Linked DNA regions of Tribolium castaneum. Each later gene encodes a partner of the first gene's protein in a complex. Links are inferred from orthologs where the notes say so. Each region holds a gene or a part of one and is shown on either strand. Other genes may lie near its edges.

Evidence for each region. The genes of interacting proteins can lie anywhere in the genome.
Region 2: mio (region 1) and Nup44A share a complex: the UniProt entries of both Drosophila melanogaster proteins name them as parts of the GATOR complex. The link is inferred for Tribolium castaneum from reciprocal best matches to the Drosophila melanogaster genes mio and Nup44A.

Annotation. Positions count from the first base shown.
Region 1 is NC_087395.1:14,777,870-14,783,183, forward strand, and holds the end of mio (GATOR2 complex protein MIOS-B), read right to left. Parts: 5' UTR 5,253-5,314; intron 5,203-5,252; 5' UTR 5,193-5,202; coding exon 5,081-5,192; intron 5,036-5,080; coding exon 4,523-5,035; intron 2,827-4,522; coding exon 2,634-2,826; intron 2,584-2,633; coding exon 2,217-2,583; intron 2,169-2,216; coding exon 1,930-2,168; intron 1,886-1,929; coding exon 1,525-1,885; intron 1,477-1,524; coding exon 991-1,476; intron 943-990; coding exon 752-942; intron 704-751; coding exon 622-703; 3' UTR 512-621; downstream 1-511. UniProt on the Drosophila melanogaster protein: An essential component of the GATOR subcomplex GATOR2 which functions as an activator of the amino acid-sensing branch of the mTORC1 signaling pathway.
Region 2 is NC_087396.1:12,235,074-12,241,396, reverse strand, and holds Nup44A (nucleoporin SEH1), read right to left. Parts: upstream 2,923-6,323; 5' UTR 2,778-2,922; coding exon 2,667-2,777; intron 2,623-2,666; coding exon 2,466-2,622; intron 2,419-2,465; coding exon 2,157-2,418; intron 2,111-2,156; coding exon 1,877-2,110; intron 1,827-1,876; coding exon 1,669-1,826; intron 1,618-1,668; coding exon 1,433-1,617; 3' UTR 1,368-1,432; downstream 1-1,367. Other genes in the region: mRpL13 (large ribosomal subunit protein uL13m), read left to right, coding at 3,131-3,154, 3,204-3,327, 3,376-3,530, 3,580-3,813; leukotriene A-4 hydrolase, read right to left, coding at 4,487-5,118, 5,170-5,314. UniProt on the Drosophila melanogaster protein: Probable component of the nuclear pore complex (NPC). Involved in maintaining the localization of another nucleoporin Mgtor to the nuclear envelope of early meiotic female germline cells.

The DNA of each region.
Region 1 (5,314 bases):
CACAGCCTTCAAACTTTAAACTTGTGTTTTCGCACTCGTATTAATAATAACTGTAATCATTTTTTGTTTTAAAATATTGAATAATTTATTCGATTCTCCTGATTTATGCAATCTTATAAAGTATAAAGTCTCACAATACCCCACTCGATTTTTAGAACTATACTCACAGGACAAATTATGGTTTAGTTAGCCTTACAGTCGTATGACTAGAAAGGTGAACAGTGGGTTTCCCCGTAAATTGGTCATTTTCAACTGCTCGTTTTTATTTGTTTTTACTTTATATTGCCCTAATGAGTTTTTTTTGTAACCTTTTGGCAATAAAATACAATAATCATTATTAAACCATTATTTAAATACCATTTTTTTATTTTTAAGTGTCTGTATTCAGACCTCATTCTCAAGTAAACATTTTACACTCCTTCAGCAAATGAAATAATGTTAATCACAGCGATCTGTTAAGATTTAGACACTGTTAAATATTTTTTTAAATTTTGTGGTTCGAGGTGCTACCTTTAAAGGTTTTCGAAAACACGTTTATTCACAAAAACGTTGGTTGGGTGTATATATTTAACAAAAATCAAATTCTTAAAGTACCGTAAATCTTAGCTAAAATATCACAATTCACTTAATAATCGCATTGCTGAGCGAATCAACAGAAAAGCATTTGCAAGTGCAGGCGGTCACAGGACATTCCGAATGCTCGCTAAAACAACGGGATAATTGACTTAAACAAAATTCTGTGCCAACTTACTCAAACCAGTGGGTCATGTGAGACACGTGCCCGCCATGCCTGCACGTCTGACACCACGTGAACCAGTTGGAAAATTCAATAATTTTATTACTATCGACCTCGTTGCTGAAATTCCCTGTGGTGGTGCCCATATGCATGAGACATATCGCACACCGCGGCAGCGGTTTCCGACAACCGGGGCATGACGACATCTGTAGAACCAATTAGAAACACACCAATTGCGAAACAACCAATCAAACCTTGAGTTTGTTGGCGGTGCCGCCAATGCGAGTGAAGGGGCCCCGCCCCCTGGTGAGCCCGTACATGTAGGCCGAGATGGTCTTGCCGCAGTAATTGCACGAAACGTACACTTGCTGTGGGGGCTTGTCGGCGGGGCAGTAAGTACTCAACATGATGTCAAAGTGGGCTCGTTCGTTCCACAACTGCCAAGTATCAAGCAGGTTGCGGTAACTCGAGATCCAGACTTTGATAACTTCGGAGAATTGTTCCACGGGAAAAGCACGGACGGCTATGAGAGCAGTCGATTGGATATCACCAGTGGCGTCCAAATATCTTTGCAACAACTTAATCCCGTCCTGGTTTGTTCCTGTGAGCAATAAACCGTCCAAATTCCCCTCTTCTATCAACTTATCTGACAATTTCTTTAAATAGTCGTGCAGTCGGTTGTCGGGCAAAAACATGCAAGCAAAAGCGACTCGATCGTCGACTGTTACCCCACTCTCGTTCTACAACAACCTGGTTTAAACCCCCATCAAAATAAATTAATCACTTACCAAAACGCTCTCGAAATTGTAATTCTCAGCAGTCAAGAAACTAAAAATCACTTTCAAATACGGATCGGACAGTTTTTGCTTCGCCGTCGAACAGAACTGTTTCCAGACACTATTCTTATCGTCGGTGAACCCCGCAAGTGCCATTGCTACAACATTTAGCCCCAACCCGAAGGCCAGGGTTTCCGGAGCCCGACTCAAAATTTCAATCGCGAGCCGGATTTTTAAACTAAAAACCGCGATCGCTGCAGCTCTTGTGTGCGCCCCTTCTTTTTCAAGCTGCTCCAAAAAGGCGGTCAGCTGGTTTGAATCTCTCTCAAAATGCCAACTGCACAAATGCAACGCCTTGTCCCGGTCCTCGTGCCTGTAACGAACTATCAAATCGGACTCAACTCGTGGCAACATTACTTGAAAATTCGGACAACTCCTTGGCAGTTTTTGTTCCCCAGATCGGACCACAGCAAGGAATAGTGATCAGACTTGTTGTTACTGGGGTCAAGTTTTAAAACCGCTTGCACCCCCGGGTGTTTGCACTGTGTTCCGGTCAAAACCCCGTCTTCCACCAACTTCCCGCTCAAAAACAGCCAGTTCCACACGTTTGCCAGCATTTCGTTGTCCACAACTTCGCCGTTTTTGTAAATCTCTGCCTTGAAACGAAAATCGGAAAAATGGTAAAGTGGTACTTAAGTCACTACTTTTAAGCCGTAGCCGGACAGCGCCCTTTGTCGGATTTTGGTCGAGATGTCCTGCAGGGGACAGTCGTTGATGTACTTCATGGTTTTGCGTCCGTAAGTCCACACCACGTTGGACGTGGGGGCCCAGTTGAGGGTTATTCTGTCGAAAACTGTGTAGTCTGTTATGGTCCCCGACAATGCTATCGTCAGAAATCGGTTCTCGTCGGAGTTGTGCCACGAAAATGACATTATGTTGTGGGGGGATCCCGGGACCACGTCCCGCTCCAAAACGGACGGTTCCACTTCCTCGTTCCCGATTACAGTGTGCTGTATGTCGTATAAGTTAATCACGGAGCTCTCTTTTTGCAAAGACCCCAAAAGATTGTACCTAAGGAAATAAACAAAAATTTCGAATTTTATGCACGATTGGGAATGTACTTTGTGGGGCACCAGGCAATTTTGATCACAGGCTTGTTCTGGTGCAGCGTCAGGATGGGTTTTTCGAAATTTCTCGTATCCCAAACGTAAATATTATTCTCGAAAAATGACGCCAAATGCCGGTCGTCGTTCGGGTCCATGCAAACGCCAAAAACGGCCTTGGTTAGCGTAGAATTTGTGATTTTGTTAGGATCTACAAGTAACTATTGAATAATCTTCGACCACAGCGTGAGTCAAAATAAAAGTGTTCTTATTTAGACTCACGTAGTTTTTTTCTTTTAGTTTTCTTCCTTTTTTTCACAATTTCTTAAATGATTTTCCCATTTATTTTACTACGTTGTGGTAATGGTTTACAATTGGTGTAATAAGCAACGAAGTACGTGGTTTAATAATCAATTTGATGAATAAATGATTCAATGGCAAATAATTTGGGACAACAATTCAATGTTTTGCCAAACACGAAAATTTATTCAACATACAGAAGAACTCAAAACACTGCCAAAAGAAGTGCTGAGCATCGACAAAAAAAACTATGCGATGTTCAAAAAGACCCAGGTTTCATTGTCTAAAGTCAACAGTTTTGTAGAATTTTCATTATTCAGTTAAAATAATTTTATTCGTCCCCGCGAGAAGAAATATACCTTATACCTTTGAAGTTCGTTTTATTATGCAGTCGAATGTAACAGAAGTATATGTGAAAGAAAGAAAAAAATTGAACATAGGAGTAATATTGTTGTGTGATGTTCAGTAAAATAAAAACCTCAGTGTCCGGAAAATTGTCGTTTTAAATCTCATGTTAATATGGTCCTAAAAAATCATATTCTGCTCTTAAGTTATTATACGCGAACTATTTAATTTTGAATTTCAAATTACGTAAAAAGTTAACAGAAACCTTAGTTATGTCATTTATGAAATATTGCTTAATCTTATACTATCCCTGCTTAGATAATATCACAAAGTACAAATTACAGAAAATCCAAAATAGTTGTTGTAGGTTCATTTTTGGTTTGAACAAATACGATCATGTTTTGTCTAAAATACTCGACCTACGTTGGTTGAAAGTTGAAAATATGTATCGACACCAATTGGGTACACTTATGTTTAAACTTATGACAACTTCGTCTCCATTCTACCTTAGAAAAAATTTAGATTTAGAAATAGCATTCACAATGTCAACATTCATCATAATACACAAATCTCTATGCCTCAGTTTAGTTCATCCATCTTTCAACGCTCGCTAACTTATAATGGTGTTAAAGTTTTTAACTCCACTGTACTCTTTCAGTTGAATGTTTCGGTGAATAAATTTCGTACACTCTACAAAGATTTCTTGCTCTCCATGGTTAATTATGGTGTTCATCATCGCATGCTACGTTTCCATTTCCATATTTACTCTATTGCTTCTTTTTTAGTTTTAAGTTTTCTATTTGTACCTTTCTGAAGTTATTTATATTACTTGTTTTATTTTTCTTATTGTTTGATATTTTTTTATATATCTTTATAATTCTTTTTTTGGGGAGTTGAGGTGAATAGTCTTTGACTAGACTTCGCCCCCATTTTTCTTTAATAAAGGTCTGTTATTATTATTATTATTATTATTATTATTATTATGTTGAACATAAATATGGACACATACTTGCAAGATTGTAAGAAATATCCACATAATATAATGTATGTTACGCTTTATTGTTCCAAATATATTTATTTTTAATTAGATTAACGAAAAAATATGGCCTTTGTTTACATAAAAAGAATTCATCCAAATCGACTAAATTAACTGGAAAAGAAAGGGAATATCAATTAACACATGATTTTGATATTTCACAAATGGAAAGACATTTAAGAAATTGTGAGACACAATAATTGAGAAAGAAAAAGACTAAGAATACCTCTGATGTCGACAAACTTGATATTTTTCAAGTTCATCCCGACAGCAATCACCTTGCTGTTGCTGCTGAACCAGGCCATGCTGTGGGCGGTTTCGGAAACCCCAAATTCGGCTATGGGTTTTGCGAGCTCCACCCCTGGGGCCATGGTGTTAACCGCCATCCTTCCCGAATTGCTTTCGTTGTTTTGGGACGACTTCATAATGTCCCAAATGAGAACGGAATTGTCCGCTCTGTACTTGTCTAACCCGGCAGCCACCCAACTAGTCTCAATTGTGTTCCAGCACACGGCATTACACTGCCTTGCATGTCTCGGCACCAGTTCTTTCCCAGTCAACCCCAAGGCGTCATACTCCGTGGGGCCGAATGTCGACAGTGATATTCGTCCATTTGATAAACCCACAGCTAGCAACAAATCGGCATCGGATTTTGGGTAAACATCCAGGCATTTAACGTAGTGGTGGTTGGTGTTTGTCGCCAGTAAATTGGCGGAAGTCGTGCTTGATAGCTTAATATCTGCAAGTTTTTCGTAAGATTGGGATCATGGCCATGAGTTAATACTTTGCAAAACGTTATCGCGGTCTTGGTGCACCTCGTACAAGCAAATTTCGGAACCCCACGTGATAAATTTGTTGGTGATGGGGGTCCACTGGATTTCCAGTTTCGAGGACATTTTATGGAAGCTAAAACGGTAATTAAATACTTAGAATAAGTAAAAAGGCAACGGGTTAACAATTGGCGAATTTGCGATGTATTTTGGCTTTGAGGTTACGGTCATGTTTTTGTTTTCTTTTG
Region 2 (6,323 bases), on another chromosome or scaffold:
ATCCCGATTTAAATTACACAAATAAGAAACACAGCATGCAGATAATATGCAATAAGCCTGGTATTATTGAATTTGTAAAAAAATATGTGTGTAGGTGTGTCAAATACAATTTGTCGGCCAGACACAATTTATTATTATTTATATTGAATACGATCAGAATCTGTAATTCATTCCAGTATAATTCGAATGTAAATACCGAATTTAATCCAGTTATGGATGTTTTGATTCGGTACGGTGGTACAAATCAGTCTATTTAATGAAATGAGCAAAAAAATTTTAAAAAATTTTAAACATAAAAACAATAAAGACAATTTGTAGCAGTTGAGATGAGCTACAGCGAATTTTTTTTACTAAAATTTTGAGTTAGGGAGACCGTTTAAAACAAACAAGATTTGTTTATTGACTGCTTTTTTAAATTTAAACTAAGAGGAACTAACCATTGACCCATTCACATTAATAAATTATTGAATGAGTCCGAAAATTGAAAGCGATTGGTTTCTCACATTATTTTAATGGCCGACCTTAAATGGACCAATCATATCCAAAACTATAATTTTTCAATGAATCAAAAATTCATAAGTGATTGGTTTTCTCCGTAATTTTAATGGCCGACCTCAAACGGCCCAATCAAAAGGCTTACAAATTTTACAACAGTCACTACGTGACTTACGTTAATTCATAAAATGATGTGTCTGTCTTTGTTGCATCTCACATCTTCAGTTTTTCTTTGAATTCTTACTCCCTAGGTAATGGTGGGCGCTCTGCTAGATGAAAAACAACAAAATGGGATAATGAGAACAATGAAATGAGGAATATTGAACTGAAAGTCTTTTATATTAGTCCAAAAGTTTCAATTGACGAATTCTCGAAATGACATGTTGAAAATCAAAGCGCATGCGCGCGCACTTTTACAATTTGACATTTCTAATTGATGTTATTTCTACAAAATCCAACGAAAAAGGCGAAAAGTCGGGGGAAAGTGTCCCCAGCATATTCAAAAGCGCAAAGGGGATCACGGGATAGGTAAATACTGTAGTTTTAAAAACAGGGCTCATGTTATTTATTGGTGTTTTTTTTATTATCCCTCCTCGAGAGCCAAAAATACAAAATTTAAAAGAATGATCAATAACTTTAGGACAAAACCGCAAAATTATTATTTGGTTTTGATTTTTTAAGTATTTTTACTACAATGAATCGATCATCTTACCAAGGTTTTGTTTGTTCAAAAAATGTTCGTAGGAGATTTTTGAAGTTTAAATTCAATTTAATTAATTTAAAATCTTATTGGAAGTATTTGATTCTTGATCACTTTGTGTATTTTACTTTTTATTATTAGTTGTGAAACAGGTAAACATAAAAAACAAATATTAAAATAAAAGTTTATTCAGTATTTTGTGAAATACATCTTGTTCTCATTTTACGGATTTAAAAATTAATGCCAAGGGACGTCTCTTGGTTGAGAAATGGCACCGAGTTTAATATATCTAGCAGTCTGTGACGCACTTTGGATTTGCGGCCCTACTGTTGAAGAAACTGATGATCTTTGACCTTCATTAGAAACTTGTGACCCATCACCTCTTAATACTGCTATTGGCTTCCACGAGTTAATGTAATTCACTGCAAAAAAAATTATTCTTACGATAAATAAGCTTACAATTTAGTTCATACTTTTAAACATTCTGACACAACCATCGTCTCCACTTGAAGCCAAAATAGTTCCTGTAACATTCCAACAGACTCTCCAGACGGTGGATTCATGATCGTCAAATTGGGCAACAATTTGTGCATCTAATTTTGTAATAACATTCTGCGAATTCGGGTTGTCGCTACAAAAAAATGATTAGAAAAAACAATAATCGAAAAATGTAAAACTTACTAAACGTGAGGTAAATTAACGATTTTTACATCTTTGGTGGCAATGGCTAAAACATGAAAACTGCGGCCTAAATTAGGAGAAAACGAGAGATCGTAGACGGGGTCTGTAATGTTTGTTATGGCATCCATTTTCGTCCACTTCCGGCAACTCTCACTGTAAACATAAATAAAAACTTTGACTCCATTGGCTGGATTTGGATCGTCACTTCCAACCGCCAACATCAGAGGATGCATCCTAAAAACACCATTTACAAACCGTCTAACAATTCTGCAAAAAATACTTTGATAAACTAGGATTCCAACTTAGGCAACTGCACGGCAATTTGCACTGGATTTCAAACTGCAAAGTCCATTGACTCAAATTCAAAACATCGGGCGCCTCATAAATCCGAATAATGCCCTCGGCTGAACAGGTCGCCAGCTGCAAACCCTGCGTCCGTGGCCCGAATTTCACATCAGTAACGGAAGTCCTCGAATCGACCAGATTTGTCCGACGGACCCAATGCCTCGTCCCTCTTTCCCCAGGCCCGGGAGTCTCACCAACTTAAACCCACATTAAATACACACTCGATAAAAACTACTGAAAGTACCAATTTCCTCCCAAACTGCGGCAGTTCGGTCAAAGGAACAAGTGGCCAGAACCTGGCCAAATTCGGGGTGGGCCCAAGTCACTTTCCAAACGGAGCCGCTGTGGGCCTTCCAGCTTGATGTTAAAGTCCATTTGCCGTCGCTGTTTTGGTCCCAAACCTACTTTTTTTCCTTATAAGTTGAAAACGCAACTGCTAACTAACCTTAACGTATTGATCGCTGGAACAAGTGGCCATTCTTTGGCCGTAAAAATCGTACGCAACATCGTGGATTAGGTCCTTGTGTTCGGCATTAATTTCCTGGGCCTCAAACATTTTTTATTTCACGAATAATCAACAAAACTGATCTAAACATAACCCCTAAAGTTCAAAGCGTCAGTACTTGCGCAGAACGCTGAGTTTTTGCGGTAGAATCTCCAAGTTATCGAAATTGTGAAAAATAATCATTTTCACAAGCTTTTTTACTCAGAAATTATTTAGCTAGTTTTTACAGGTCTAGAACTTGCAAAATTATCAAAAACAATCAAGTTTTAACAACTAAAAATACAATTTTTTGTTTCGGCTTCGTGATTATTAGACCGCACGCTGGATCTTACATAACAAATGTAAGGTTATGAAAACTCAACCTCACTAAAAAGTGTCACAAAAAAGTAACAATAATAACAAGCATGTCTGTGGTAAAAAGGGTTCAGGTAAATACAGTTGGTCGTAAAATTGCATAAAATTGTCTATGGATTGTAGCAATGGGCCACCTTTGCAAGGATATGGCATGTGTACGATGCCGCTTGGCAGGACCCATTTCAGTCCGCGCAACTGATAAAAAAGTATTTAATGGGCTTATATAAACCAATTTACCACCCAATGAGTAATTAAGGCAAACGGGTGTTGTTTCTTTGCTCAATATCAGTTTCAGATGATTGTGGTGACCATGTAATTGTTATAAACACTAATGAGATCGCGATGCCTGAAGAAGAGTGGAAGAAACGGGCTTATTTTCACCACACGGGTTATCCTGGGGGTGCGTCTTGGACCCTAGCTTGGGAATTACACAGCAAGGACCCGAAATTAGTTAATTAACATTCCTCTTATGAACCAAGTAGTGTAAACATTTTTTTAGATTCTCAAAAAAGCAGTTTATAAAAGCATGGCCGGCAATTTGCAGAGACGGCACACAATGGAGAGGCTGCATCTTTTTGCTGATGAAAATGTACCGGCAGATTTGATGAAAAACGTTTCTAATCAAATAAGACAACTTAGACCAATGCCAAAGAGACTAGACCATTATACTGAAGAAGAAGTTAAATCATTTCCAAAACTTATCGATTATCCGAAAGATTACATTCTGAAATAATTTTTTGTTAAGAAAATAGTTTTCAAATATAAAATAGTCACATTATTTTATCTTGCTTTTTAATTTTTTTTTGAGACCATTTAAAACAAAGTAGATATATTTATTGACTGCCTTTTTTAAATTTAAACTAAGAACAATAAACCATTGAACAATTCCCATTAATAAATTATGGAATGAGTCCGAAAATTGAAAGTGATTGGTTTCCCACATTATTTTAATGGCCGACCTTAAATGGACCAATCATATCCAAAACTATAATTTTTCAATGAATCAAAAATTCAAAAGTGATTGGTTTTCTCCGTAATTTTAATGGCCGACCTCAAACGGCCCAATCAAAATGCTTACAAATTTTACTACGTGACTTACGTTAATTCATAAAATGATGTGTCTGTCTTTGTTGCATCTCACATCTCCAGTTTTTCTTTGAATTGTAACTCCCTAGGTAATGGTGGACACTCTGATAGATGAAAAACAACAAAATTGGGATAATGAAAACAATGATTTAAGGAATGTTGAACTCAAACTCTTTTATTTTAGTCAAAAAGTTTTCGAATATCAAATAGCCACAGTATTTTATCTTGCTTATTCATTTTTTTAATACATTAATTCCAAATTTTGAAATGGGGGAAAGAAAACAATTTAAATATTGCGTAAAAATTTATTTAACACAGTTTTAAGACGTTAAATGCAAGTCCTTAGAAACAGTATAAGCCACCACGTGCATCATTGAATTTTTATTCAACTTGAAGTTTTCGATGGCCTTGCTTCTCACTTCCTCCCAAGCGTACAAATCCCTGTACAGGGGGCGCACAAATTTCATTCTTCCCACTTCATTGATCCACTTCAGAGTCGGTTCAACACTCTTCATCCAGTGCGCTTTTAAACCAATTCTCAACCATCTGAACTTAACTTCGGAATTTTTCACTTTACTAAACTCGAACAACTTGTCCAGTTGCTCAAGTTTGGGAATAGACAATGGTTTTCCGCTCCATATTTCTTGCAGAAGGTAAATTATTTCATCGGCACCAAGATTCTTAATGTGCGTGGTTTCAACAGGACAGGCAGCTTTTTCATCCCACTCGACAAACTGTTTCATAAGTTTGTCACAGTTGGTAGCCAGGGACGTGTTGTAGTTGGGAACCACTGGAGGCATTCCGGTGCCGTAAAGCCAAGTGTTCCAATCAACCGATTTGATGGCCGCCTTGCTTGCGAAATATTTTTCGAAAAATGATTTAAAGTCGTTCGTGTCAATGGATTTGTATTTAAAAGTGTTGAAGTACTCTCTGAGGAATGGTTCGAATTGAGCTACAATTACCGACTGTTTTTTTTTTTGCTTAAATGCAGTTAATTGTTTACCTGGTCCGCCGACTACTTCTTCAAGGTAGCGCAAAAAAGTTTGGCCTTTTTCGTAGGGAACCACCGAAAACGCATCATCGGGGTGAACCCCCTTCAAGTCGACAACCAGTTTTGTCAAAGGGCTGTTTTCCCCAAGCAACTTCACCTAAATGTTATATAAAAATGGTATTTTTACCAAGCAGGACTAAACTATTAAGAGGCGACACGACGTAAATTATTTTTACTGTGCCGCACTACTTTTTTGAGTGAGTTTAGTATCTCGTATCTCATTTAGTCCTCCCTCCAAAAAACTAAATACGTACTAAATGTAGAAATAAGATACAAAATAAATCGATTTTCTGAATCCAAAAACTTAGTGTAGGTTCAGAACAGAAATGAAGGCGCTTCGACATCGTCTCGCCTTCAAAAAATAGTTGATAGAAATAAATAGAATTGATTATAATTTATATGGTTCACTTAATTGTGTAAGAAAAATCATAAAATTCTTTACAACTTATTTGATCCCTTACATTTTTTGTATCTTCAACCATATTCGCATCGTTTTAAAAAATATGGAACAAATTAATAAAAATTTCTTTTTTTAAATAGTTTTCGATATATTTATGCATTTTTATCTCTTATTCTCATTGTACGCGCTATCATATCGGTATAACGTAGTGCCTTCATAGGCCACTAACTTGAAGCTACTCGTAAACAAATGCGAGATTCAATGCTTTTCTTACGGGCGTTTGAAATTTTCTCTTGTTTTTCATGGGAGATGAGTATAAAGATTAATATTTTTACAAGTAAATGGGTTCAGTGAACAATGCAATGTCGTTGCTTAAAAATGATTTTAGCAACTGCATTCAACATTCAACATAAACATCTAGCTTTCCTTTTTCCAAATTGCTTCAAACTTGTTTTAAATATGTATCTGTTAAAATTAGAATAACAAAATTACGAATATTTAAACATGTTTCGCCAAAATTTTATCCCCAAAATTTTTTGTCCAAGAAATTAATTTCAGAGACTGGATCTTAAAAATGCACCTCCCTGTATATTTTTCAGGCTAAATGACGAAAGTGTAACAAAAATCATTGAGAAGTAGGAAAAAACGTAGCTAAAGCACTCACTATAGTTTTATCTCTTCCTTTCTGATAAAGTAATAAAATATA